Macaca mulatta: one gene and its partners. The protein of the gene in region 7 interacts with the protein of the main gene of each other region in a pairwise test. Links are inferred from orthologs where the notes say so. Each region holds a gene or a part of one and is shown on either strand. Other genes may lie near its edges. The genes, in order: HTT, UBTD1, TXN2, PSMA1, C2H3orf62, LNX1 and MRFAP1L1.

Region 1 (3,500 bases), about 2.9 Mb from region 7:
CTACCCGCCCGCAGACCCTCGCCCAGCAGTGGCATGGCGGCTGCGCTGAAGACAGTGCTCCACGGAGGGAGATCTGTGGTCAGCTCCAAGGTGCCTCCCTGCGGCGTCTGGAGGGCGGTAGAGCGGAAGGCATGCACCACGCTCTCTGGAGCACTCGCCACCTAGCACTGGGTCCACTAGACCACAAGCCCCTTGAAGGCCAGGACTGGTCGTGGCGCCTCCCTGTGTCCGTCTGCCAGCTGTGGTGGTGCTCAGTGAGCATGTGGGAACTGAAGAATGATGCAGAGGTGCGTTTTAAAATCGACATGGGGGCCAGGCACGGTGGCTCACGCCTGCAATCCCAGCACTTTGGGAGGCCGAGGAGGGTGGATCACTTGAGTTCAGAAGTTCGAGACCAGTTCGGCCAACACGGTGAAGCACTGTCTCTACTAAAAACACAAAAATTAGCTGGGCGTGGTGGCACGTGCCTGTAATCCCAGCTACTCGGGAGGCTGAGGCAGGAGAATCGCTTGAACCCGGGAGGTGGAGGTTGCAGTGAGCCGAGATCGCGCCATTGCACTCCAGCCTGGGTGACAAGGGCAAAACTCCATCTCAAAAAAAAAAAAAAACATGAAAACAGACAAGCACAGGCTCAGCTGTTCAGAACACCTCATCTGGCCAAAGAATAGAGCAAAGTCCACCTGAGTATGCTCTTGAGAAAAGCCAAATGGCTCCCCACTGGACACCCTGATTGGAGAGCACAGGCAAGGCAGTGCAACAACGCCCCAGATCCGCCATGTCGCCAGGACTGGGACACCCTGATTGGAGAGCACAGGCAAGGCAGTGCAACAACGCCCCAGATCCGCCATGTCGCCAGGACTGGGACACCCTGATTGGAGAGCACAGGCAAGGCAGCACAACAACGCCCCAGATCCGCCATGTCGCCAGGACTGAGGCCTGAGAGCAATCAGGGAGCCTTGTCCTTAAGAAAAAGCCCTACGAAGCTCCTAACCCACTTCCAGAGCAGGGGAGCGAAGCCAATTCTCAACACCAATTCACGCACAGCAGTGGGGCGGAGGGGTAGCGAGGAGAAGCCACTGACCACACGGGTCTCAAAAGATGCATGTGTGGGTTTCACCTTCCTCCTCCTGCTGCTGCCCCTCACCCTGCTCACAGGCACCATGGACCCCCTCCCACAGACCCCCGTGGGCTCCCCTCTCACGACAGGCAGCCAGGCTGAGCCAACTCCTCATCACTGCGCAGGCTTCTGCCGCACCCTCCCAGAGACTGGTCATTCCTGCCCCCTGCCATACCCCACACGGCCAGGTGCGGTGCCTGAGCCCTCAGGAGAGATGGGCAGGCGCTGGGACAACCTTGGAACTGGTCAACACTACACCTGAGCGCTGGGGTCCAAGGACCACCAGCTCGCCAGTGGAACCCTGAGCCAAGGCAGCCCACGGTCAGGCTGTGGTCAGGAATCACTGGCGGGACTCCAGCAACAGCGCCAGGGGATCAGCCAACACACACAAACGCTCAGCTTCAGGCCAAAATTCTAGGGAAGCTAACGGCTGAGGGATGGGGCTTCGTTTCTTACCTATCAAAAAGAACAGACACCCGCTCCATAGCAACAATCACCGACTCGCTGTCTGGGGCTGCAGGATTAGGGTCTGAAGTTCTACCCGGACTGACTTTCTCCTTTCCTGTAATAAAAGTGTTCAGTACGAAGGTTACATCTATACAACCCAACAGGCTCTGTAGATAGTGCTTTGTACACAGGAGTCCAATGAATCACTGGAGAAGACCTGACAGCAGGTGATGTGAGCCCCTCGCTAGCCCAGGACCCAGCACAGCTCAGCCACATGGGATGAGTGACCAGAGGGGTGGTCAACCCTGACCAGGTACTCCAGCCCTGGGGGCTCCAGAGCCTCTCTTGCAAGGTGATGGGGCCAGCTTGGGGCAACACTAAAAGTGTCAAATCAGAGGACACCTAGTCTAGGTTCCTTGAGCGAGCATGCTCCTGTCTCCCTTGAACAGGACTTGGGCTGGCCTTGCGGGCACTGTGTACATGCTCACCTGTGTACATGCAGGTGAGCATCAAGCCCAGAGCCGCCATGGCCCGGTGCGGGCTGTGCACGTTCACTCTGTCCACACTCAGCTTGACCAGGGATTCTGCATCCAGGCGGGAGAGCTGCTCAGAGAGCAGGAGGCGCTCCAGGCCTCTGAGGGCACAGTGGTAAATGATAGAGGGGGTGGACTCCTCACTTCCGGACAGCATCACCCCACACATCTGCACAGGGAGAAAGGTTTCTGTCGCTGCATGGTCTCAGGTGTTCATGCCTCCTCCCCACCAAGTCAAAACTGGCCCACTGGTATGATCCCGCAAGGAAAAGAGAAGGGAAGCCCACTCCCCGTGTGCAGAGGAAGACAGTCAGGGCCCACTCACCTGTATTATTGATGCTGAAAATTCTGGCCCTACGTCCAGAGGATAGTTCTCAATCAGGTAAAACGCAGTGGCACACATGACCAGTACGTGCTGCTGGCTGTGAATGTTCACGCAGCTGAAAACGGGAGACAGCAGCCAGGCTCAGCCGCCCCCATCCAACGTAGAGAGGGCTTCGCAGCATGCCCAGCCACACGCGGGAGTGAAGAGCTGCGGGCCAGGCTGGCTCCCGGGAGCACCTACCCTGTGTGGCTCCCCAGGCCCCTGTAACCTGGCCTGACCCTTCAGCCTCTGCTCGACCCCTCCCTGGATAGCTGAGCCCGTCTACCTCCTCCACGCCCTGCCCTCTCGGCCTGGCCCAGCCTCCCCTGTGGCCACCTCCATACTGGCCACCACAGACTTCCTCTCTCTGTCCCTCAAAGAGGCCCTGGATTCCCACACCCCAGGCCAGTCCCCTCTACTTCCTGAGTGCCCTGTGCTTTTCCTTCGTGGCACATTCCACCATGACGTGCTGCCTTGTGTGATCCCCCGACAGCACCTGCCTTCCCCATGGCACAATGGGGACCCGGTAGCCAGGGACTGAATGAGTGGCCACTGTGAACAGAGGAGCCAATAAGATGCCCCCCTCCACCCACAGAAATGTGCCCAGTGATGCTTATATCCATCACCACGTGATCCCACCTCTACCTCGGAGGCATGTGACACAGCCCGTGCCCATGGCACTGAGGCCAGCCCCACACACCATTTCTACCTGGATGCCACAAGCTCTCTGCATCCCAAACGCAACTCCTGGGCCACCTCAACTCTCCTTTCCTGAGTCCTCCATGCCCACAGCAAGAGCCATAGACGGCCCAACACGCCAGCACAGCCAGGGCTTTGGCCTGTGCCTGGGGCCTGTTGTGGGGCTGCCCCCCAAAATCACCTCGCTGCACCAACGCATGTGCCTGATTTGCAGGCCTGTGTCCCCCGTGTGACTTGCCCTATGCCAGGCTCCAGGGATGCAGAGACAGTTGCCAGCTGTCCGCCTGTCCTGCGTCCTGCTAGCACAGCACCCACCGCCCAGCAAGGATGACAGACGAGA
Region 2 (2,574 bases), on a different chromosome or scaffold from region 7:
GTGACCAGGCACAGTGGTTCCCGCTTGTAATCCCAGCACTTTGGGAGGCCAAGGCGGGCGGATCACCTGAGGGTGGAAGTTCAAGACAAGCCTGACCAACAAGGAGAATCCCTGTCTCTACTAAAAATACAAAATTAACTCGGCCTGGTGGCGCATGCCTGTAAACCCAGCTATTCAGGAGGCTGAGACAGGAGAATCACTTGAACCTGAGAGGCGGAGGTTGCAGTGAGCCAAGATCGCACCATTGCATTCCAGCCTGAGCAACAAGAGTGAAACTCCATCTCAAAAAAAAAGAAACTCAATTCTGTGATTCTAGAGCTCCACTGTTACCCTCTGCTTTACATGGCCCCATAAGGCTACTATGAACTTATGTGAGCTAATGCAGTGGAAGTTTCTAGATCAGTGTCCAGCACATAATGACCCAATAAAAGGTCAGTGCCTTTGGGAGGTCAAGGCCAGTGGATCACTTGAGCTCAGGAGTTTGAGACCAGCCTGGCCAACATGGTGAAACCCGGTCTCTATTAAAAATACAAAAATTAGCCAGGCGTGGTGGCACATGCCTGTAATCCCAGCTACTCAGGAGGCTGAGGCAGGAGAATTGCTTGAACTCAGGAGGTAAAGGTTGCAGTGGGCTGAGATCCCACCACTGCACTCCAGCCTAAGCGACAGAGTAAGACTCCATCTCAAAAAAAAATAATAAAAAATAAAATAAAGGTCGGTGCCTTGGATGTTCTAGGGTCCCAAAATGCATTTGTGACACTGCTTTACAAGTTTGTTGATGTCTTTCTGTCGTGTCATTAGGCAAGCACAGACTGTGTCTCATTTTCTCATTTTCCTTGTGTACCCACTCCTGGTCCATGCTCAGTAAGGGTTGCTTGAAAGAATGAACACGTGAGTAACCACCTGCCCCACCGCTCCACACCCCTCAACACCCTCAAACTGTGCTGGTGACCCCCGAGTTCCAGCGGGGATAAAGCCCTGGCCCTGTCCACTTACCATGAGGCAGGGTGATGCTGGCTCCATCCAGGATGGCCTGGGCCAGCTCGTGGTCGTTGGCTTCAGCAGCATAGGCGGCGGCCTTGAGGGCATCCCAGATCTCCTTGCGGCCCTCAAAGGCAGGCGCTGTGTCCCAGAACTCATCCCGTTTGCTCCGCAGCTGCCCGTCAGTCATGGGGTAGTCGCTCTTCCACTTGAGCCGCTCTTTCTTCAGGGGCTCATTGCGTCCTGGGCAGGACAGAAGGAGAGGCTCAGCATCTCTAAAGCTACTTGAGCTGCAACCTGCCCTCCCCCTCCCCTACCCTCCCAGGCCAGACCCTGAAACCCTGCTGCACTGGCTACTAAGTATTCAGGTCTCTGAAGCCCTTCCTAAATAGCAGGGAAGAGTCAGGAAACTTCACATAACCAACCTAGGGACATAAAATAATTGTGTCAGCAAAGCATATGCTACCATTGTTTTTGTTGCTTTTTTTTTTTTTTGAGATGGAGTTTCACTCTTGTTGCCCAGGCTGGAGTGCAGTGGCATGATCTCAGCTCACTGCAACCTCTGACTCCCAGATTCAAGCGATTCTCCTGCCTCAGCCTCCTGAGTACCTGGGATTACAGATGCCCACCACCACACCTGGCTAATTTTTGTATTTTTAGTAGAGATGGGGTTTCACCATGTTGGTCAGGCTGGTCTGAAACTCCTGACCTTGTGATCCGCCCGCCTCGGCCTCCTGAGTGCTGGGATTACAGGCGTGATTGAATGAATGATCATGTGGGGCAGGGCACGGTGGCTCATGCCTGTAATCCCAGTGCTTTGGGAGGCAGTAGGATCGCTTGAGCCCGGCAGTTCTAGACCAGTCAGGGCAACATGGTAAAACCCTGTTTCTACAAAAAAATTTTAAAAAATTAGCCAGGCACGATGGCACGCTCCTGTAGTTCCAGTTACTACTTGGGAGGCTAACATGGGAGAAATCACTTGAGCCTGGGAGGTTGAGGCTGCGGTGAGCTGTGATGGTGCCACTGCACTCCTTCCTGGGCAATAGAGCGAGATCATGTCTCAAAAAAAAAAAAAAAATTATTAACAATTTTAACATCTTGTTACTAATGTCCCACTGTATAGTCACAAAGATTTTTTTTAAAAAATCGTAATCAACAAACTCCCCAAAAAATTCCTGCAGCATCTGACAAATAAAACAATTCTGTCAAATGTCATTTTTCTTGTTACCCAGCTCCAAGTGACCTCCAAGACAACTCCAAACCACAGTCAAGACTGAGGGCAGAGGCATCTCTCAAAGGCTTTTGGAGGCTCAGTCATCTCAAAACTAAAGGCAGAGTGAGCCACAGGAGTGAGATGTGAAGCACTCTGCCTCCACTATAACTCAGGTCCTACGCCGAGAGGCAGAACTAAGGCTAGGGGCCACCACCAGATTGCTCCCACTGGCTGGGGCAAAAGGAAGAGAATAGCAGGCACTGACCTCCGCTGAGAAAGAATCCCAGGCAAGGCTTTATTTATATACACGATCCCATTTCATCCTTGCTTAGGCAGTAGGTATTACTATTGCTATTTCACAGGTGATAGGACAGATTTAG
Region 3 (3,500 bases), on a different chromosome or scaffold from region 7:
ACTCTCAAATATCTGCTGAATAAATGGACAAACCAACCAACCAACCAAGTGAGGCGACTCCATGCCTTTGTGCACGCTGTTTCCTCAACCCTTCCTCCTTCTCTGACATCCTTCATGGCTCAACTCAGAGGTTCTCTCTAACGTGAAGCGTTCCTGTCCCCTCCAGCTCCCCCACAAGCAAACAGTCCCTTCTTCCTTTATACGTCTCTTCTTTTAGCACTCCTCACCCTATACGGAGATGATCTTTCTACCTGCTGTTCTCTAGGAGTTGCCTGGAGACAAGACCTCATCTTATTTGTGTCAGAATCACAAATGCTTGCACATCGAGCTCCCAAATGACTGCTCATTGAACATGTGGGTAGATGAATAAAGGAATGTACCAATGTCCGAGACTAAGAGAATGACCTGGTGTTTTCGGGTCGTACTATCTACTTCCTAAAGGTGGCGAAGAGACAGGTGGCTCAGAGGATCAACAGCCACCTCTGCAAAGTGCTCTGAGCTACTAAAAGCGCTGGAAAAACAGGCCGGGTGCGGTGGCTTATGCCTATAATTCCAGCACTTTGGGAGGCCGGGGTGTGCGGATCATGAGGTCAGGAGTTCGAGACCAGTCTGGCCAACGTGGTGATACCCTGTCTCTATAAAAAATACAAAAAATTAGCCAGGTGTGGTGGTGTGCGCCTGTAGTCCCCGCTACTCAGGAGGTTGAGGTAGGAGAATTGCATGAACCTGGGAGACAGAGGCTGCAATGAGCCAAGATCACACCATTGCATTCTAGCCCAGGTGACAGTGAGACACCATCTCAAAAAAAAAAAAAAAAGCTCTGGAAAAACCAAGACACCTTGCTTACTGGCTACCTGGTCCTCCCCAAGATATCTCCTACACCAGCTACCCCTGGGCCCAACACCCCCTACATTGGTTGCCCTGTGGCAACCCCCTGTCAATCCATACCTCATACTCAATGGCGAGGTCTGTGTGGTCATCAATATCCACCTTGGCCATCACCACCTTCCCGTGCTGCTTGGCCACCATCTTCTCTAACCTCGGCCCCAGGATCTTGCAGGGCCCACACCACCTCAAAAGGCGAGAAAGGAAGCATCCAGTCAGTCAAAAGACCGCTCAGCATCCCCTACTGGCTTCCCAGACCTGCATCTTTCCAAGGAATCTTTTGCCCTTATTATCTCTGTCTACCACGTTTAAAAAATAACAGGCCGGGCACAGTGGCTCACGCCTGTAATCCCAGCACTTTGGGAGGTCCAGGCGGGTGGATCATGTGGTCAGGAGATCGAGACCATCCTGGCCGACATGGTGAAACCCCGTCTCTACTAAAAATACAAAAAACGAGCCGGGCGCGGTGGCGGGCACCTGTAGTCCCAGCTACTCGGGAGGCTGAGGCAGGAGAATGACGTGAACCCGGGAGGCGGAGCTTGCAGTGAGCCAAGATCACTCCACTGCACTCTAGCCTGGGCGACAGAGCAAGACACCGTCTCAAAAAAAAAAAAAAAAAAAAAAATTAACACACCAAATGGTAATGCCAGGAGATTCTGCACGTGGGAAATCTTCACAGATCCCAGACTTCTAAAACACAGGCCTCATCAGAAGACTCTTAGAATAAAAGTGACTTATTTCAGTATATTTCAGATAAATATACTGTCATATAAAAGAATATGGGATTGGGGCCGGGCACAGTGGCTCAAGCCTGTAATCCCAGCACTTTGGGAGGCCGACGCGGGTGGATCACGAGGTCAGGAGATCGAGACCATCCTGGCTAACATGGTGAAACCCCGTCTCTACTAAAAAATACAAAAAACTAGCCGAGCGAGGTGGCGGGCGCCTGCAGTCCCAGCTAATGTAGTCCCAGCTACTCGGGAGGCTGAGGCAGGAGAATGGTGTAAACCCAGGAGGCAGAGCTTGCAGTGAGCTGAGATCCGGCCACTGCACTCCAGCCTGGGCGACAGAGCGAGACTCCGTCCCAAAAAAAAAAAAAGAATATGGGATTGGAAGTTAAAAGGTTCAAACAGAGGCTCCTCACCAACCAGCCGATTATTCTGGGGTCCTAGTTTCTTCATCTGAAAAAGAGAGATTATGGCTCTCAAAGCTATTAGGAGAGATCAACTAAGGCAATGTGGGTAAACATGCGTTGGAAGCTGCGGGGTTATTGCAAACACCATGTGGACTCAGAACTAAAAGGAGGGGAACCAATGGCCAGGAGTGTCTACAACGCGCCAGTCCCTGGACAAGCACTTTTTCTGCTCTTACCAAACACATCCCTCAACTCTGCAAAGAGAACGCACCTTCCAAAGAAACTGAAGCCCATACGAGTTAAGAAACCAGTGCAAGATTAGAGAAGCACAGCCGGGATCGATCATAACCCAAAGCTGTGTTGAAAGTGTTTTCTTTAGCCGGGTGCGGTGACCCACGCTTATAATTCCAGCACTTTGGGAGGCCGAGGCAGGCGGATCACCTGAGGTCAGGAGTTCGAGACCAGCCTGGCCAACAACATTGTAAAACCTTGTCTCTACTAAAAATACAAAAATTAGTCAGCAGTGGTGGTGGGCACCTGTAATCCCAGCTACTAGGAAGGCTGAGGCAGGAGAATCGCTTGAACCTGGGAGGCGGAGGTTGAAGTGAGCTGAGAGATCATGCCACTGCACTCCAGCCTGGGCGACAGAGATTCTGTCTCAAAAAAAAAAAGAAAGTGTTTTCTTTCACCCACAGGCTACTCTGTGATCCCACAGCCCCTGAGTTGACCACTATCACTGCCCTGATCACAGGTTCCCCTCTTGCTGGGGAAGCTCATCCAGGACAGGCCTGGTGCTGTCATCTCTATGTATGTGGCACCAAGGACAGTGCCTGGCAAAGAATGAACAACTCACACCCCACTTCCTTACCAAACAAAATGAGGCACTACCCCATTTATCGTGCATTTCGGAAGCCCTCTCTGGAATGCTCACTACACCAGCAGGCCAAAACAGTTCCACCCTTCACAAACCCCTGGCTGACAACTCCTATTTTATTCTCAGCACTTATTTATCTATTTTTGAGATGGAGTCTCACTCTTTTGCCCAGGCTGGAGTGCAATGGCACGATCTTGGTTCACTGCAAGCTCTGCCTCCTGGGTTCAAGTAATTCTCCTGCCTCAGCCTCCTGAGCAGTAGGTGTGGTGGTACATACTACATCCAGTCAGGCCTGAGGGTTTTATTTATTTTTATTTTTTATTTATTTATTTTTTTTGAGACAGAGTCTCGCTCTGTCGCCCAGGCTGGAGTGCAGTGGCCGGATCTCGGCTCACTGCAAGCTCCGCCTCCCGGGTTTACGCCATTCTCCTGCCTCAGCCTCCCAAGTAGCTGGGACTACAGGCCCCCGCCAACCTCGCCTGGCTAGTTTTTTTGTATTTTTAGTAGAGACGGGGTTTCACCGTGTTAGCCAAGATGGTCTCGATCTCCTGACCTCGTGATCCACCTGTCTTGACCTCCCAAAGTGCTGGGATTACAGGCTTGAGC
Region 4 (3,983 bases), on a different chromosome or scaffold from region 7:
AGCCACCGCGCCCGGCCTTTTTTTTTTTTTTTTTTTTTTGAAACAGAATCTCTGTCGCCCAGGCAGGCTGGAGTGCAATGGCGCGACCACGGCTCACTACAACCTCGATCTCCCGGGCTTAAGAGATCCTCCCACTTCAGCTTCCCGAGTAACTGGGACCACAGGCGCATGCCAACATGCCCAGCCTTTTTTATTTTAGTATTATTATTATTATTGTAGCGACGAGGTCCCACTGTATTAAAATAATATAGTGATCTCGAACTCCTGGGCTCAAGCGATCCTCCGCCCTCGGCCTCCGATAGTGCTGGGATTACAGGCTACCGCACCCAGTCTCTTTTTTTACAAAGAATGTAAATAGCCGGTGGATGTTAGATTGGCAGCTGTTTGCAAAGATGTCAGACTATTTCATTACGGAAAGATGCTCTCAAAAGACAAAATAGGTAAGTCGAAAGAACGTGTCCATTTTTTCTCAGTGGCCTAATCAGGTATCATGCTTGGTTTTGAGGACACAGAAAGACAGCGCCCTCATGGAGTTCAAAGTCTGGTGGAGGAAACCAATCATAATAATAATGAGGGGTTAAAGACAACAGAGCCTTGAAAGATAACATCTCCAGGGAATAAGGAAGAGCATTCCAAGGTATCTTGCCAAATGGCAAAAACCGCGGTTACTTTTGCACCAACCTTAATACAAATAAAAGCATGTACACAAACAAGATACTCGAGGAAGAATACGGCTGACACACAGAAACGGATCGTTATCTTGGGGCTTTCCTGCAGCCTCGTTTCTTTCAGTCACGTAACACCCCAAAATCTGTGGACGGTGAATGAGAGCTAGTATCACCCGGAGTCACGGCTGTTGCCTCGTAAGACTTTAGATGCAGCCCGCCACCGGGAGAAACTGGAGGGAATCCGCAATACACAGGAACCAAGAAGGGCTACGTGACAGGGGGTCCCCCGCAGCTCTCAGCCGCCGGCACTCCCAGCCCTGGGTTTCCCGCCAATCTCAGTTACTAGATCTTCCCAGGCTCCGCCCGCCGCCGAGCGGTCGGAGAGTTTTAAGGAAGGGGAAGTGTTGCAAGCCTATCGATATCTCTGGAATAGACTGCGCTACCCTGCGCCGCCGCCATCAGACTCCCGCAGACTTCTCTGTAGATCGCTGAGCGATACTTTCGGCAGCACCTCCTTGATTCTCAGTTTTGCTGGAGGCCGCAACCAGGCCCGCGCCGCCAACATGGTACGTTGAATCCCGACCTCTGGAAGGTTTAGGGCAGAGCTCCGGTGACTCGGGGATGACGAGCCACCTCTCCTGTCATCCTTAGCGCCGCCCGGGGCCACGAGGTATGGGAGCCTCGGCAGACGGCCGGGCTCCGGCAGTGATTCAGCATCTCCGGCCTGGCCGGGTTAGGGGCTGTCGGTAGCCAGTGCGGCCTTTCCACCGCTTTCGCTTCCCGGGGAGCCTCCGACACTTCCTCCTCTGTCAGCTAGATGAGTTCGCCCCTCAGGTTCCTTCAGTGGAGTAGATTCTGAGCGGTCCAGAATAGCCCCTAGTGCTGTGTATGGGAGAGGAGAAGACAGAGACTTGGAGGCCTACCTGTACCACCAGTGCGGACTTGACCCCCAGGTTTGTGTTCCTGGACCGCGTCCGTTTTCCTGGTGGGTCCGTCTGATTTATCTCTCCCCTAGACTTCGGTTAGAAGAGGCCCTTTTCAATAATTTTGTCCAGTCACCTATTTACAGATGAGTAAGCCGAGGCTGAGAAGGGAAGTGATGGAATCTGGGTTACAACATAGGGTTCTGGGTTTCCAGTGCTGTGCTCGCACTCAATCTCACTCCCGTGATTAGTCTCCCCAGCACTGCTAGACTTATTATAATAGTCATAATAGCCGTAATGGTTCTATCGCTGCAGCTGTTTGTGTCCACCTCTAACTTTCTGAGGACATTTTTGTTCATTCAATATGAATATACAGACAGAGCATTTGTACAAGCATAACTACAGTGAACGTTCAAAAGTCATACATGTCCCTAATCATAAAAGCAGAAAGGGACGTTTAGATAAAGAACTGTGGGAGTATGTGTTAGGGGGATTTGGGAAGAAAAGCTAATCATAAAAACAGAAAGGGACGTTTAGATAAAGAACTGTGGGAGTATGTGTTAGGGGGATTTGGGAAGAAAAGGAGAAGACTTCCAGAAATCGACATTTAAGCTAACTTAAAGAAGAGAAAGGCTTTTAACCATTTATTAGGTCCCAATAAAAGGGAGCAGCATAAGCAAAAATAGGCAAGAAAGTTGATTGTGAACTTTAGTAATTGAGCCTAAAGGGATTGCTATGAAGGGTTTTAGAATAAGAGGTTGGAAAAATAGGACCCATTTAGATCTGCTTCTCCCTCTCCCACCAGTTTATGGTAAATGTAGAATTGGCTTACGTCTGAGTACAGTAGTAATCTTCCAGTAAGATTGCATGAACAGAGTGCCTTAACATTGAATGGAAACACAAGCATATTTCTTAATGAATGTTAGAGTTGGGATTTGAAATGTTCTTCTATTAACAGGTCTTTTTTTCTTTTACTTTTAGTTTCGAAATCAGTACGACAATGATGTCACTGTTTGGAGCCCGCAGGTAAAATAATGTTTTTTAAACTATTTCTGTGAAATGGCTTTTTGTGGCTGCAATATATTTAGAAGCTTGTGAGAGCATAGGCTTGGGGAAAATGGAATATAATATTTTAGTCGTTCTTGGAAGTTGCATTTATAATTAAAATAGGTCTCCTAATGGACCTAGAGGACATTATGTTAAGTGAAATAAGCCAGAAACAGAAAGAAAAATATTTCATGCTCTCACTTATATGTGGAATGTTTTGTTTAAAAGAGCAAATATATAGAGAGAGAGAATAAAACAGTGGTTACCAGGGTAGGGAATAGCAGTGGGGAGGAAAAAAGAGGAGATACAAAGTATCAAATATGTAGGTTGAGCAAGTGGAAGGATCTAAGGTACAACATGAAGACTACAGCTAATAATGCAGGTAGTGTTTTGTATTCAGGATTTTTGCTAAGTGAGTAGTTGATAGCTCTTGCCACAGCAGAGGAAAATGGGTAAGTATGTGAGACAATGGATGTGTTCATTCTGCGATAGTGACCCTACTATATATGTGTATCTTACAACATCATGTTGCATACCTTAAGTATATACAACAAAATTTATTTTAAAAGAAGCTTTTGGCTAGGCGCAGTGGCTTATGCCTGTAATCCCAGCACTTTGGGAGGCCGAGGAAGGTAGATTGCTTGAGTCTTGGAGTTCAAGACCACCCTGAACAACATGAAACCTGGTCTCCACAAGAAATACAAAAATAAGCTGGGCGTGGTGGTGCCTGCCTATAGTCCCAGCTACTGGGGACGGTGATTTGAGAGGATTGCCTGAGCCCAGGAGGCAGAGGTTGTACTGAGCTGAAGATTGTGCCACTGCACTCCAGCCTGGGTGACAGAGTGAAAACCTGTCTCAAAAAAAAAGTTTCTTGATTTAAAAAAAAAATCAGTTGAGATTTAACTATGCCCACCTGACATTTGAAAACTCTAATTTTTAAGTTATAAAAGGCCTTCTAAGATGTGGTTTTGTTTTTTTTTTTCTTTAGGGCAGGATTCATCAAATTGAATATGCAATGGAAGCTGTTAAACAAGGTTCAGCCACAGTTGGTCTGAAATCAAAAACTCATGCAGTGTTGGTTGCATTGAAAGTAAGTAAAGTAATAAATATGTCTTCCTCTGTAAAAAACTATTAATGTAAATTTCACCATAGACAGTAAGGTTGTAAACTTATTTTTACATTTTTTTTTTTAACATCTTATAATGTCTCCATTTAGAGGGCACAATCAGAGCTTGCAGCTCATCAGAAAAAAATTCTCCATGTTGACAACCATATTGGTATCTCAATTGCGGGGCTTACTGCTGATGCTAGACTGTTATGGTAAGTATAATCATGAAAAATAAAC
Region 5 (4,094 bases), on a different chromosome or scaffold from region 7:
ATTTTATATTTTTTAGTAGAGATGGGGTTTCACCATGTTAGCCAGGATGGTCTCAATCTCCTGACCTCGTGATCCGCCTGCCTCGGCCTCCCAAAATGCTGGGGTTACAGGTGTGAGCCATCGGGCCCAGCCAATTTTTGTATTTTTAATAGAGACGGGGTTTCATCATATTGGTCAGGCTGGTCTTGAACTCCTGACCTCGTGATTTGCCCGCCTCGGCCTCCCAAAGTGCTGGGATTACAGGCATGAGCCACTGTGCCCGGCTGAGAGTGTTTCTTAAATCTGAGATACTTGCTGACTCAGACCCATGTGAAGGACCTATCTTCCCAAGGACAGGATGGACTGGCCCACTGTACTCACCGATCATTTCAAGCAGATCCTTTGTGACCTCTTGGCTAGAATTGTTGAGTGCCATGTTTGAGTCAGCCTTCAAATCTCTCTCCATATCTTTCCTGCAGCCCCCAGGTTGGGGGGAAGAAAAGGTGGGGAATTAGATTCTCTTTCAAGAAAATATTGAAGGGAAACTCAGTTTTAGATAATCTCAAAGACAAAAACTTACTGGTGATCTTGTCATTTATGCTTTGATTAGAGGACAATTGGAAATTGCTACGTCAGTGGAGAAACTGACTAACAGCTTTACCATAATAACTCACATGACTGTATTACAGACTCACATGACTGTATCAGACTGTATTAATTTTTTTTCTTTTTTAGAGACAGGGTTTAGCCATGTTGCCCAGGCTGGTCTCGAACTCCTGGGCACAGACGATCCACTCACCTCGGTCTCCCAAAGTGCTGGGAATACAGGCATGAGCCACCTCACCCAGCCTGCATTTGTTTGTTTCATTTATTTATTTATTTTTATTATTTTATTTTATTTTTTTGAGACGAAGTCTCACTCTTGTCCCCCAAGCTGGAGTGCAATGGCGCAATCACAGCTCACTGCAACCTCTGCCTCCCGGGTTCAAGCGATTCTTCTGCCTCAGTCTCTGGAGTAGCTGGGATTACAGGCGGCCACCACCACGCCCAGCTAATTTTTCTATTTTTAGTAGAAACGGGTTTCACCATGTTGGCCAGGCTGGTCTCAAACTCCTGACCTCAGGTGAGCCATCCGCCTCAGCCTCCCAAAGTGCTGGGATTCAGGCGTGAGCCACTATGCCCAGCATTTTTTTTTTTTTTTTTTAGATGGAGTCTTGCTGTTACCCAGGCTGGGGTGCCGTGGCAAGATCTCAGCTCACTGCAATCTCTGCCTCCTGGGTTCAAGCAATTCTCCTGCCTCGGCCTCCCGAGTAGCTGGGATTATAGATGCGCGCCACCACGTTCGGCTACTGTTTGTGTTTTTAGTAGAGACAGGGTTTCACCAGACCTCAAGCAAGCCACCCACCTCAGCCTCCCAGTGCTGAGATTACAGGCGTGCCACCACACCCAATAAGGCCTGCACTGCTTATGAGTACCAATTTATTTGTGGAGTTGAAAGGAAAAAAATTTTTTGTGGAGCTGAATGAATTAAATGGCCTCTTTATTCCCTTCCTATGAAGCAGCCAAGATGGCAGAACTTTGAAGCTTCATCTCTTATGTTCATCCCTTCTCCAAGTCAAGCTGTCTGGGACCAGGCAATTTCAAGTTACTTGAGAGAAGAAAAAGTCTAGAGGAGACCTGGTGATGGTCCAAAAAACTCTGGGGTAAGAGTGGGGAGCAGAGGCAAAGATAAGCCAGGAAGTAGGGCCCAGACTTCAATTCAGCCTCTCCCTAATGTGGGCAAAGGAGGGTATCAAAGGCCCCAGTGTCCAGATTCAAACACAGAAGTTAAGATGGAATTAAGACTTTTGTTTCTGCAACTTAAAAAATAAGGTTATTTTAAACACCAGGTTATTTTACATCCACTACCCCTTTGGGTACTGCAAAGTGGTTTCCATGACTGGTTTGACATCAACGATTGACAACTAGCCCCTCAACTGGAACACATACACAAAATATAACTGTTTCCTAGGCCAGATTCTGAAGAATGTCTATGAACTCCCCAAATGCAGTCACAGAGTTGCCAAGAGGAGGTAAGAGCACTGTCATGAACTAAATCTAGGATCTTCAACAATTTTTTCAAAAACAAGAATCCCCTTAATTGTAGCTGTTAAGCTATCAAAATTAGAATCACCTTAAATTTTCTTTTCTCCAGTTTTCCCCCTCTCCTGCAGTTCTCCAAGACTCTCTTTCAGATGCCAAAATGGAGGAATGCATCAATACATTTTCCTTGCTGGTCAGAGGTTTTCTCTCGGGGCACAGAGCATGTGGTTTTGCATTTACCGAGGCATGGTTTGTTGCAAAGGCAGGGTTCTCATTCTCAGGAGCACATGGGACAGCAGCAAAAGGAACAGCAGAGGAGCAGGCTGCCAGAGGATGTCTTCTGCAGAGGAGTCTGTGCACGGGCAGCGAGGAGGAGAGCGGCGCAGCGCTCAGTTCCAGCCTCCGCTGGCCTGTGCACTCCTGGGAATAACTAACTCCTTCAAAGGCCCGGTCAATGGCTGCAGTCAGTTCCTTTCTGCATCTTCTTAGTTTTTCAGACATTTCTCCTAAAAGCGACCATGTCTTTATGTAATGCATTGGAAATGCATAGGGCAACACAATAATGTTACAAATAAGGCTGCAAACTACCCCGAACGGCCACGATTTCCCGGAGCTTGGCCCTGGCTACAGCAGGACCCACAACCCTCGGGCTTTCCTCCTGGAGTAGGCGGTTCTCGGCTATCGCGGAGGAACCCGCGATCTGCCAGAAGCCCCAAGGACGCCCCGCCCCACTTCCCACAGCTTCCTGGCCCGCCCAGCTACTGCCTCTCGCCCCACCGCGGCTCCCAGGCCGCCCGGCCGTACCCCGCACCCCGCCCTCCGACAGGTCGCAGCCACGTCCTTGTCTTCACCCGCAGCGCAGTGACGCCTACCCAGCCAACGGTCATCGCATGCGCGCGCCCCGCGCAGGCCCCAGACCCCCACGGATTAGGTTAAAGGTCAAACAAAAAAGCCCAGACCCGTATGTCCGGTTCCTTAAGGCCTTGTGGCCCCACAAGCAGCAGCTGGCCCCTCGGTGGGAGTGGGGACGGGTCTTTCGACCGGGGTCCCGGTAAGAGTCTTGGCAGGGATGAGGAAAGAACCTGTTCAAGAAAGCATCTGGGTAACACCAAAATGTATTACTACCCTAAATCGTCATGAACTGGAGCCCTTTCCAGGCTGACAACTCCCACAAAGATTTCTGTTCTCAAGCCAACATGGAAACAACTGGATGGGACACAGCACCAGGCAGTTTTATGTACTGACTTCCTTTAAGTGTTACCTAATAAAAAGTGTGTTATCTAATAAAAGTTCCACACAGCATTTGACCGTCTTAATTCATCTAGGGTAGCAGGGGATGTAACATAACTGCTGGGTTCCACAGGAGGTTGAGAGGCCAGGATCCCCAACACTAAATATCTTCATTTCCTTAGCGGGGAGAAAGCTGGAAATTACAAGATGACTCAACGGAGAAATGGGCTTCAGTGGGTAACTTTCAAAAAATTATAAACCCGTATCAGTGCACATAGCGAGGGAAAGGGGAGTTTACTTGAGGCTTGGGTTACTGTGAGCAGACTACTTGGGGTGACTAGTATCAGCATCAGAACCAGAAATCCAGGCGCTCAGGGCAGCCCTGCAGGTGGGGTGGGTCTCCAGGCTGCTCCATACTCAGCGCCTGTGTTTCTCTCCATTCTTTGGGATCCATCAGACATACTCCATTGTGTACCCCCATCCCACCCCCTTTTCAGCTTCACAGGTTTCACAGAAATTTCTCACCACCTGTTTAAAAATAAAAATAATTCAGCCTCTTGACATAGCTTCTTCTAGGTAAACGGTCTTTTTTTTTTTTTTTTCCCCCTTCTGCTCATAAAAGAAGGGTATTTCCTTGTCTGGTTTTTGGACAGAACACTAGCAGTCTGCAGAGTGTCAAAGATGTTCTCCTGGGGGATTATGCTGGTGCTGCAGGGTGGCAGGATCGTGGAGTCAGCATCAGTTGGTGTCCATGCTGCAAGCCTCATCATCCCCCATGCCCTGCTGACAGCTGCTTGGTCGTG
Region 6 (4,077 bases), about 74 Mb from region 7:
GCAGACTTAGTTCAAAGTCAGTGTTCTCAAATATGTATTGACTAAATTAGTAGTATAAGGGGATATATAAAAATTTAGGAAAAAACTTAGCTTCTTGAGCAGCTCAAGACTTCACCATTCTCATTAACTCATTTCAGTGGAAATCAAATGAGTCACCACACTCATTAACTCATTTCATTAAATTTGTTCTTGAGGTAACCATAATTTTCTCATTGGGAAAAACTACCAAACTCTTTATACTATGCCGAATCTTTTTCGATAGGCCTAAATTTAGAGAATGAGTGCAGAATAGGAAAGAAGTCCACATTTACATTCAAAGTTTAAAGCCACCTAGTATCTGAGGTCACTGATCAAAAACAGCTGCCCATTTCCCAGTGGGAAGTAAAATAACCCAACTTAAGAAAAAAATGCCCACAAAGTCAGATCAAGGTCTGACTTTGCAACGGGTTAACATAAGGAGGTCTCACTGCTGCAATAAAGTTAAATACACAACACCAATAAAAGAAAGCATTTACTTTTTAAGGAAATAAAACAAGTAACACTGGTATCAACTTGAATGGATGCTTCAGGAGGGCAGGGGATTTTGTGTTTTGTTTAAACATCTGCAGAAAGATGATCAAAGCAGGGTGTTCTCTCCAGTATCAAGAGGTAAGAAAATGGACACACTGTGACTTACTGGGTTCAAAGCTTTGAACTAGAACATGTAATGTTTTAGATGGTTATGTTTACAGCTTCTCCATATGAAATATTCAGTAAGAGTATACTCATTTATATATCAAACTGGGCAATGTTAAAACTGGTATTTGATCATGACCTTGGATAACAATCATCTAATTCTTACCTTTCTCCAAAAAATTGGGCACACATCCTCCCAGGTGGGAATGTTAATGCTTTGGTATTTACAGAATAGTCAGTTACCTGCTTTGTACATGAGGAGTCAGTGAACCATTATGTAAAATGTGTATCTGACACACCACAGCTCCCAAAGAATGAATTTACCACTGACATCAAGGTTTACTGTGAAATGCAGCAGATACATATTTTACAAAATATGAAATTTAATGAAATTCATACTTTTAAGCAATCATTTCAGTAAAAGAAATTGTTATGATGTATATGTATGACAATAGATTCAGAACTGGTTAGAGTTGAATTTCAGCAATACATCTTAAAGGTATTTGCCAAACAAACCCTAAAGCTCATTTTATTTCAAGTGAAAACACCATCATGAAAAAAAGTCATGTCACATTGACTAACAAGGTTGGTAACAAATGTAATGATCAACTTTATCACTTAACATTTCACAAGACTTTTTATTGGTTCTAAAAAGCAATTAATATTTTAAAGGTACGGTATATAAACAAAATAGCCATATCTTGATTTTTGGCAACATGAAAAGGCCAATTTCCTTTCAAAACAATTCCTGGACTACAGCTACAAATGTGGTGAACAACGTCATATAGAGTAAAATTCAACTCCTGACACACACTTCTATGGCAACTGTAACATAGTTAACACTTGGCCTGTACCTATATGAACACTGATTCATTAGGGGCCAGTGAATAAAAATTTCTTCAATCTCATTTGCTATTTTAGTTGAGGATTCTACTAATTTACAGAAGAGCTGGGCCTTTCCTTCTCCCATTCCTTTTATAACTTCCTATCCAGTTTCCTGCAGTTTATTTTTCCTCCTATATGAATTGTTCTTATAATCTTTAAATGTATCTGTTTCCGTTCACTTTATGCCTGCATGCTTCTCTATGACTTGCCAAACATGTAGAACTGGGTGTAAAGTGGTATTTTTCCAAGGTCAAAAAAAGTATACAAATTCATTTATTAGGATTAGGTTTAAATTGCTTTCATTGAGATTATTCAAAGGATTTTTGCCTTCATTAAAAATTATATCAAGTAAATATTATATGACATCCATGTTTGTTCACCAATAAGGATTTAGGTTTATCCAACTTTTTGCTAATACAAATTCAAGCATTGTCTTAAGTTAAAAATATGATTATCGTTCCCAGTAGATGTATAACAGAACACAATAGGGGGTGTCAGTTTTTTAAGGATATTCAAAATTATGGAAAACAGAGGTTCAATTACAAAAAGCCAGCTAACGGCACAAAGGTCACCAAGGTACGATACAATTTTGAGTGGGACCTATGCAGTGCTACTTAGCCATTAAAAATGCCAACAAAAGGAATGGGGGATGAATCACAGTTAAGTATTCCCTTAACTGTAACACTTAAATGTGCATGTACACTGACTACATTCTATTTCAGGTGCTTGTATAACTGTAAAGACATTATATTACGAAGAAACACAGCTGGAAGTCTGGGCTTCTGCATTGTAGGAGGTTATGAAGAATACAATGGAAACAAACCTTTTTTCATCAAATCCATTGTTGAAGGAACACCAGCATACAATGATGGAAGAATTAGGTAATAAAATAATGACTAACCAAAAAAACTTGTATTAAATGTTGTTTAATAAATGCCAAAGCTTGGCCTCATTTGAGATAAGGCATGTATTTATTATACTTTGTGGGGAGTTAAAGTATTTATGTAGCATTCAACTTCTGAGAAATCCAAAATAATTACACATATTCTTAGTCCCATACTACAACTCCCCATACTTTTAGCATTCCTTCTAACACAAGCTGAGTGGATAGTGAGTTTGGAGAATGTAAATAAGAGGCAAGAAATATCTAAATTAAAAGCAACATAATTAAAATGATCAGATGCAGCAAAAATTAGGACCACTAAGATAAACTTGCATTAACTTCAGCAATGAATTAAAATACTAATCATATCTTGGTTTTTTTTTTAGATGTGGTGATATTCTTCTTGCTGTCAATGGTAGAAGTACATCAGGAATGATACATGCTTGCTTGGCAAGACTGCTGAAAGAACTTAAAGGAAGAATTACTCTAACTATTGTTTCTTGGCCTGGCACTTTTTTATAGAATCAATGATGGGTCAGAGAAAAACATAAAAATCACAAATAGGCTAAGTTGAAACACTGTATTTATCTTGTCAGTTTTTATATGTAAATACACTGTTAAAATGTCAGGAAAAGTATGATCTAATGAAAGTCAGTTACACCTCAGAAAATATGATTCCAAAAATATTAAAACTACTAGTTCTTTTTCAGTGTGGAGGATTTCTCATTACTCTACAACTTTGTTTATATTTTTTCTATTCAGTAAAAAGCCCTAAACAGCTAAAATGATTTGTATACCCCACTGAATTCAAGTTGATTTAAATTTAAAATTTGGTATATGCTGAAATCTGCCAAGGGTACATTATGACCATTTTTAATTTACAGCTAAAAGATTTTTTTAAATGCATTGCTGAGAAACAATGCTTTCATCAAACAAGAAATAAATATTTTTCAGAAATTATAGTTGTCTTTTAGTATGTGATACTAATTAAGATTACTTGTATTATTACCATTTAAAAGATCCTAGTAATTTATCCTTGCAAATACCATGTTATTTGTTACCATCACTGACAAATGTGTTCTAGGGCTATCCCTAAAAATGCTCAGAGAATATAAACTTGTTTTGTTTTAGTAATGGCTAAAGCTCTTTTTTCCACAATCGTTAGCGACTGTATAAAAACTTGCGCTGCTCCACCAGTGGGCCTTGGGAAATGCATCAAGGCCAAACCAGCTTGACCCTGGCTCATAGACATGGTCATGAGGCTATTTAAATTTGTGCCACAATGAAGAGTGTTTGTACACGTGCCTCCTAGAAACTACACTAAGGGTAATTTATTTCATAGAGCCCACCCAAATGCCTTATAGGTTTTATTAATTTGGATATGAAAGTGTACCCCATTTGGTTTCACCAGGAACCCAAATTTAGAACACTGAAAAGCTATCAAAAAGTTGTGATATCAAAAATGTGTAAGTCTCTTAATATACTAAGCAAGAGTGTCACAGCAGTAATGATAAAGACTAGTTTTAGTCTCAAGCCTTAGAGGGGCCCTTTGTTGCCTTTTGTGGTGCAGCCTCTTACGAGACTGGTGTTTTGTTTGTTTGATTAACAAAACTGTGGCCCAAGTGGAACCTTGA
Region 7 (4,065 bases):
TTGTTCCACATCTTCCCCAATACTTGGTATTGTCAGTATTTTCAATTTTAGTAATTCTAGTGGATGTACAGTGCTTCCTCGTTGTGCTTTCTAATCCGCATTTCCCTGTTGAATCATGAAGTTGAAAACCTCTTCATATACTTATTGGCCATTCGGATATTCTCTTTTGTGAAGTGCCAGCCTATGTCTTTTGCCTGTTTTAAAATTTTGTCTTTTCCTTCTTGATCTGTAGGAGTTCTCAATATATTCTGCATGAGTCAAATATCTTTTTTCACGGTGCCTTGCTCTTTCCCTCTTAATGTTCTTTTGATGAACATCTGCTAGAATGTTGGTGTTTGCAAAACTGTTTCGCACACGTCATCTTACAAATCCCTCTTCCCACTGACAGATATTCAGGCTGGGGCCATTGGTCTTTATCAGACTGGAAAACTGAAGTTCTGATCTGTGGCACTTGTGTAAGAAGGATCCCCCCTCTACACACACTCATATTACTACTAGTGTGGCACTGGGTGACTAAGCCTAGCAATAGACTTCTTCCATTCCACAATGGCATTAGGTTGGTGATCAAAACGTATTGACGATCAAAGCCACATTTACTAGGTCCCTGCTCATTTTCAGGTCTTGTGTGTGGAGGGACATAAAGGTGACCAAGACCAGAACCTGTCCCCAAACAGCCTCCAGTCTGGTAGAGGCACTTAGGTACTAGGCAATTCCTCTCTCTAAAGCATTCTCTAAGGCCCTGCTTGACGCCAGGCTGACGGAAAGGGCGGAGGACAGAACTGAAACAGAAGTTGCCCTTTACCTTGAGGACCTTACAGACTCTGAAGAGAGACCAAAAATCACGGGCCAGAACCACCCAAGGCAGCGAGCGAAATTCCCCCCAGAACAAAAGTATGAGCCAGGGGTGGGGAGGACAGAGGGACGAGTTCCATTCTAGAACACTGAGCAGGGACTGTGGACCCACATTGCTTTGAGCTCAAATCACGACTTTTAGCCCGGTTTTTACTTCTCTTATAGGTTCGTTGTGAGGGCTAAGTGAATTCATATAAATTAATCCAAGCTTCTGCATGCTTAGATAGTAAGCGCTGTGAACGCCAGCCAGTCTTATTCAAATATGCGGAAGGGAGGGTCATTTTTACTTTAAAAAAATAATAATAAAAGTAAAACCCCTCTGAAGGGAAGCTTTAGGGGAAGACGCGAACAAACCTGCCGCCACCAATCTAAATTAGAGAAGAGGGCGAGGCGGGGCGCCGGGAAGCTGACGGCCATAGCCATGCGCGCGCCCGAGACCCCTTTACGTGCGCGCGCCCGCTACTGGGTCTCGCCGAAGGCGTGACCGTAAAGGAGCCCGGCTCTGTCGTGAAAGGGCCGCAAAAAGGCCGAGGGCGAGTTGACGGCTGCGACTCCATTTCGCAGGTCGCTTTGCTGTGTGTATCCACGGCGATTCTTCCCACGGAGTTCCAAAGCTAAAGGCTTACAATTAAAAGGAAGAAAAAAATTAAAGATAATTCGGGAGTACTATTGACAAAGCGTGTGGGCTCAGCCTCCAGCAATCACTGCTGATCTCCAGTCCCTGGGGGGTTCCGGTAAGAAGAACGCCCCTCCGGTACTGAAGAAGCGGCAGGAGGAGATGCGGCCCCTGGACATAGACGAGGTGGAAGCGCCTGAGGAAGTGGAGGTGCTGGAGCCGGAGGAGGATTTCGAGCAGTTCCTGCTCCCGGTCATCAACGAGATGCGCGAGGACATCGCGTCTCTTATACGCGAGCACGGGCGGGCGTACCTGCGAACCAGGAGCAAGCTGTGGGAGATGGACAATATGCTCATCCAGATCAAAACGCAGGTAGAGGCCTCGGAGGAGAGCGCCCTCAATCACGTGCAGCACCCGAGTGGCGAAGCCGACGAGAGAGTGTCGGAGTTGTGCGAGAAGGCTGAGGAGAAGGCCAAGGAGATTGCGAAGATGGCAGAGATGCTGGTCGAGCTCGTCTGGCGAATAGAGAGAAGCGAGTCTTCTTGAAGGAGGAAATCGGCGGTAAGGTCGGAAACTCGCGGGAGCTTGGATGGAACTCAGTAGTCGCCCTAAGCATGGTTAAACCGCGCCCTGTAAAAAGTTATGTTCTAGGCCTGCATCCCCCATTTTATCGCATCAAAAATTGAGCATTGGGAACAAAGTTGGGGTCAAGAGGAAAGAATGCGTGCTGGTTTTGTTAGGTGTTAGTATACCGTTTTTTTGTGGCCTCTCCCTCCCACACTGGTAATTAGAGAAAAATAAAAGTAACTTCGGGTTTGTTTTTGTGAAACGTAAGTCAGTTCTAATAGGGCAGTCGCCAGGAAGTAGACCTGTCTCGGCACTAAGGGAGTTTGGGGAAAGCCACAGAAGACCTAGGCTGTGGAGCACAATGGAACGCAGGCTGAGAACGCAGGGAAAGAAATAAAAGAGTAAAGCCAGAGGCCATTACCTGAAATTTCCAGACTGTTCTGTGAGACAGGTATGTCAGAGGACCGTGTCTCAAAGAAGTGGCATTCTTCTGGGTGGTTCACATTTATTTTTAACATCAAGATATGGAACTTTGAGAGTCAATGTCTTCATGGTAAATTTCTCCCAATTGTGCTTTAGGTTCACAGCTGAGGACTGTAGTCGACTGGTAAGGATGAACTGACACCTTGAGGAAACTGAAACAGCTTGTCATTTTCTCTGTTTTGTTTTTGTATGTTTTTTACCCCCATGTAACAGTCTCCCTTATGGTCAGTGATTGATGACCTCGATATGGATTTAGATCATCAAATGTGTTTGGTTCTGGAAATACAACTTTTGTCGAAGAAATACTTTCACAAGAGAAATGGGGCTTAATTAAGTTGTTTTCGTGGTCACGTTTACTCTTGTTACTTCGCTGTGTTTTTGAAATGTTGGGCATGGCCTTGTATTTTGCTGTTACCTTTGTGACCTGATCGTTTTTGGGAACACGTCAAGACTTGGGATCAGAATCTTCCAACTTTAGAGGTGCAGTGGAAGATACTACGCTGCCTGGTTGAGCCTGGTGAAGAATGTATTAATGAGACTGCTTTGCATAAAGCTGGGAAGAACGAGAAGACAGTTGGAGATGGAAGGTGGTTTTGTATATATTTTGGAACTTTAGTTCCTCTGTGAGATGAAAGAGGAGAGCTATGTTTTGTGGCACATTGTCTGATATATATTGTGTAACCTGTCAGGTGAGTTGATTTAGACCACATAGCTGACCTTTTATGACAAGGCAGTTTGATTAGGAACTGTCGTAATACCCTCACACATTACAGGGGCATCAGAGAATGGCATCGAAGAGACAGTCTACAAAGAGCTTTAAGAGGCCAGAGAAAGGAAAAGACATTATCAGGGCCTGGAAAGTCTCTTCCAGTTCATCAGGGTAGTAGACCTGTCAGATTGGAGGTCAAAGTCAAACGTATAGTAAGTATTAATTTGCCTTGAAAAACAAAGACCTAAAAAGCCTTTTTTAAAAAATAAATTTTTTGTTCACATGACCAAAGCCCCTCCTGTGTGTGTTAATAAAAGAATCATAAATCAATCTTTTTGAAATGGATGTTCTTCACTGAGTGTCATCAAATGGGGTTGAACTGCTTGTAGTTAAAGGCTCTTGGTCAGCCTTTAACTGAGGGAGAATTATTTCTGGAAGGTGCTGTGGAGATGAGCTGACGGAACACTCAGTTCTGAAGAGAAAAACTTTTCGGCTATCCTCTGGGCCAAGCCCCTGCTTTTCAGCAGCAGAAGTGTGTTTAGTCAACCAGTGGGAATGTAACGTGCTTCATATCTTATCCAAGGCACTAGGAACATAAAGGTGAGACGTGGATGGGACGAAGGTGTGGGACAGAAATGGAAACAAGGAATTGCGATATAGAGTGTGTGGATATCATGTGGGAGCCCTGAGGAGGGAGTCAACTCTTAGTAGGGAAGTGTGTGAATTCAGAGCAGGTGACTTACCTGGGCCTGAAAAGTAGAAATGAATGAAGACATATAAGGCATAAGGATCAAAGTGAGCAAAAGCCTTTTGAGTTCCAGCACTGGGGAGACGGCCA

What was found.
Region 1: the proteins of MRFAP1L1 (region 7) and HTT interact in binary tests that used the Homo sapiens proteins (3 or more experiments, as listed by UniProt). The link is inferred for Macaca mulatta from reciprocal best matches to the Homo sapiens genes MRFAP1L1 and HTT.
Region 2: the proteins of MRFAP1L1 (region 7) and UBTD1 interact in binary tests that used the Homo sapiens proteins (3 or more experiments, as listed by UniProt). The two-hybrid records come from large-scale screens. The link is inferred for Macaca mulatta from reciprocal best matches to the Homo sapiens genes MRFAP1L1 and UBTD1.
Region 3: the proteins of MRFAP1L1 (region 7) and TXN2 interact in binary tests that used the Homo sapiens proteins (3 or more experiments, as listed by UniProt). The two-hybrid records come from large-scale screens. The link is inferred for Macaca mulatta from reciprocal best matches to the Homo sapiens genes MRFAP1L1 and TXN2.
Region 4: the proteins of MRFAP1L1 (region 7) and PSMA1 interact in binary tests that used the Homo sapiens proteins (3 or more experiments, as listed by UniProt). The two-hybrid records come from large-scale screens. The link is inferred for Macaca mulatta from reciprocal best matches to the Homo sapiens genes MRFAP1L1 and PSMA1.
Region 5: the proteins of MRFAP1L1 (region 7) and C2H3orf62 interact in binary tests that used the Homo sapiens proteins (3 or more experiments, as listed by UniProt). The two-hybrid records come from large-scale screens. The link is inferred for Macaca mulatta from reciprocal best matches to the Homo sapiens genes MRFAP1L1 and C3orf62.
Region 6: the proteins of MRFAP1L1 (region 7) and LNX1 interact in binary tests that used the Homo sapiens proteins (3 or more experiments, as listed by UniProt). The link is inferred for Macaca mulatta from reciprocal best matches to the Homo sapiens genes MRFAP1L1 and LNX1.

Annotation. Positions count from the first base shown.
Region 1 is NC_133410.1:3,412,755-3,416,254, reverse strand, and holds part of HTT (huntingtin), read right to left. Parts: intron 2,538-3,500; coding exon 2,423-2,537; intron 2,267-2,422; coding exon 2,053-2,266; intron 1,680-2,052; coding exon 1,574-1,679; intron 1-1,573.
Region 2 is NC_133414.1:109,608,562-109,611,135, reverse strand, and holds part of UBTD1 (ubiquitin domain-containing protein 1), read right to left. Parts: intron 1,526-2,574; exon of another isoform or gene 1,225-1,525; coding exon 997-1,224; intron 1-996. UniProt on the Homo sapiens protein: May be involved in the regulation of cellular senescence through a positive feedback loop with TP53. Is a TP53 downstream target gene that increases the stability of TP53 protein by promoting the ubiquitination and degradation of MDM2.
Region 3 is NC_133415.1:15,073,161-15,076,660, reverse strand, and holds part of TXN2 (thioredoxin, mitochondrial), read right to left. Parts: intron 1,073-3,500; coding exon 949-1,072; exon of another isoform or gene 1-948.
Region 4 is NC_133419.1:50,928,508-50,932,490, forward strand, and holds the start of PSMA1 (proteasome subunit alpha type-1), read left to right. Parts: upstream 1-1,183; 5' UTR 1,184-1,231; coding exon 1,232-1,234; exon of another isoform or gene 1,235-1,621; intron 1,622-2,572; coding exon 2,573-2,617; intron 2,618-3,626; coding exon 3,627-3,728; intron 3,729-3,854; coding exon 3,855-3,958; intron 3,959-3,983. UniProt on the Homo sapiens protein: Component of the 20S core proteasome complex involved in the proteolytic degradation of most intracellular proteins. This complex plays numerous essential roles within the cell by associating with different regulatory particles.
Region 5 is NC_133407.1:112,712,889-112,716,982, forward strand, and holds the start of C2H3orf62 (uncharacterized protein C3orf62 homolog), read right to left. Parts: upstream 2,801-4,094; 5' UTR 2,599-2,800; coding exon 2,153-2,598; exon of another isoform or gene 1,562-2,152; coding exon of another isoform or gene 1,539-1,561; intron 453-1,538; coding exon 361-452; intron 1-360. Other genes in the region: USP4 (ubiquitin carboxyl-terminal hydrolase 4), read right to left, coding at 4,030-4,094. UniProt on the Homo sapiens protein: Essential for normal spermatogenesis and male fertility.
Region 6 is NC_133410.1:80,049,242-80,053,318, forward strand, and holds the end of LNX1 (E3 ubiquitin-protein ligase LNX), read left to right. Parts: intron 1-2,282; coding exon 2,283-2,441; intron 2,442-2,829; coding exon 2,830-2,965; 3' UTR 2,966-3,577; downstream 3,578-4,077.
Region 7 is NC_133410.1:6,327,361-6,331,425, forward strand, and holds MRFAP1L1 (MORF4 family-associated protein 1-like 1), read left to right. Parts: upstream 1-1,380; 5' UTR 1,381-1,630; coding exon 1,631-2,014; 3' UTR 2,015-3,565; downstream 3,566-4,065.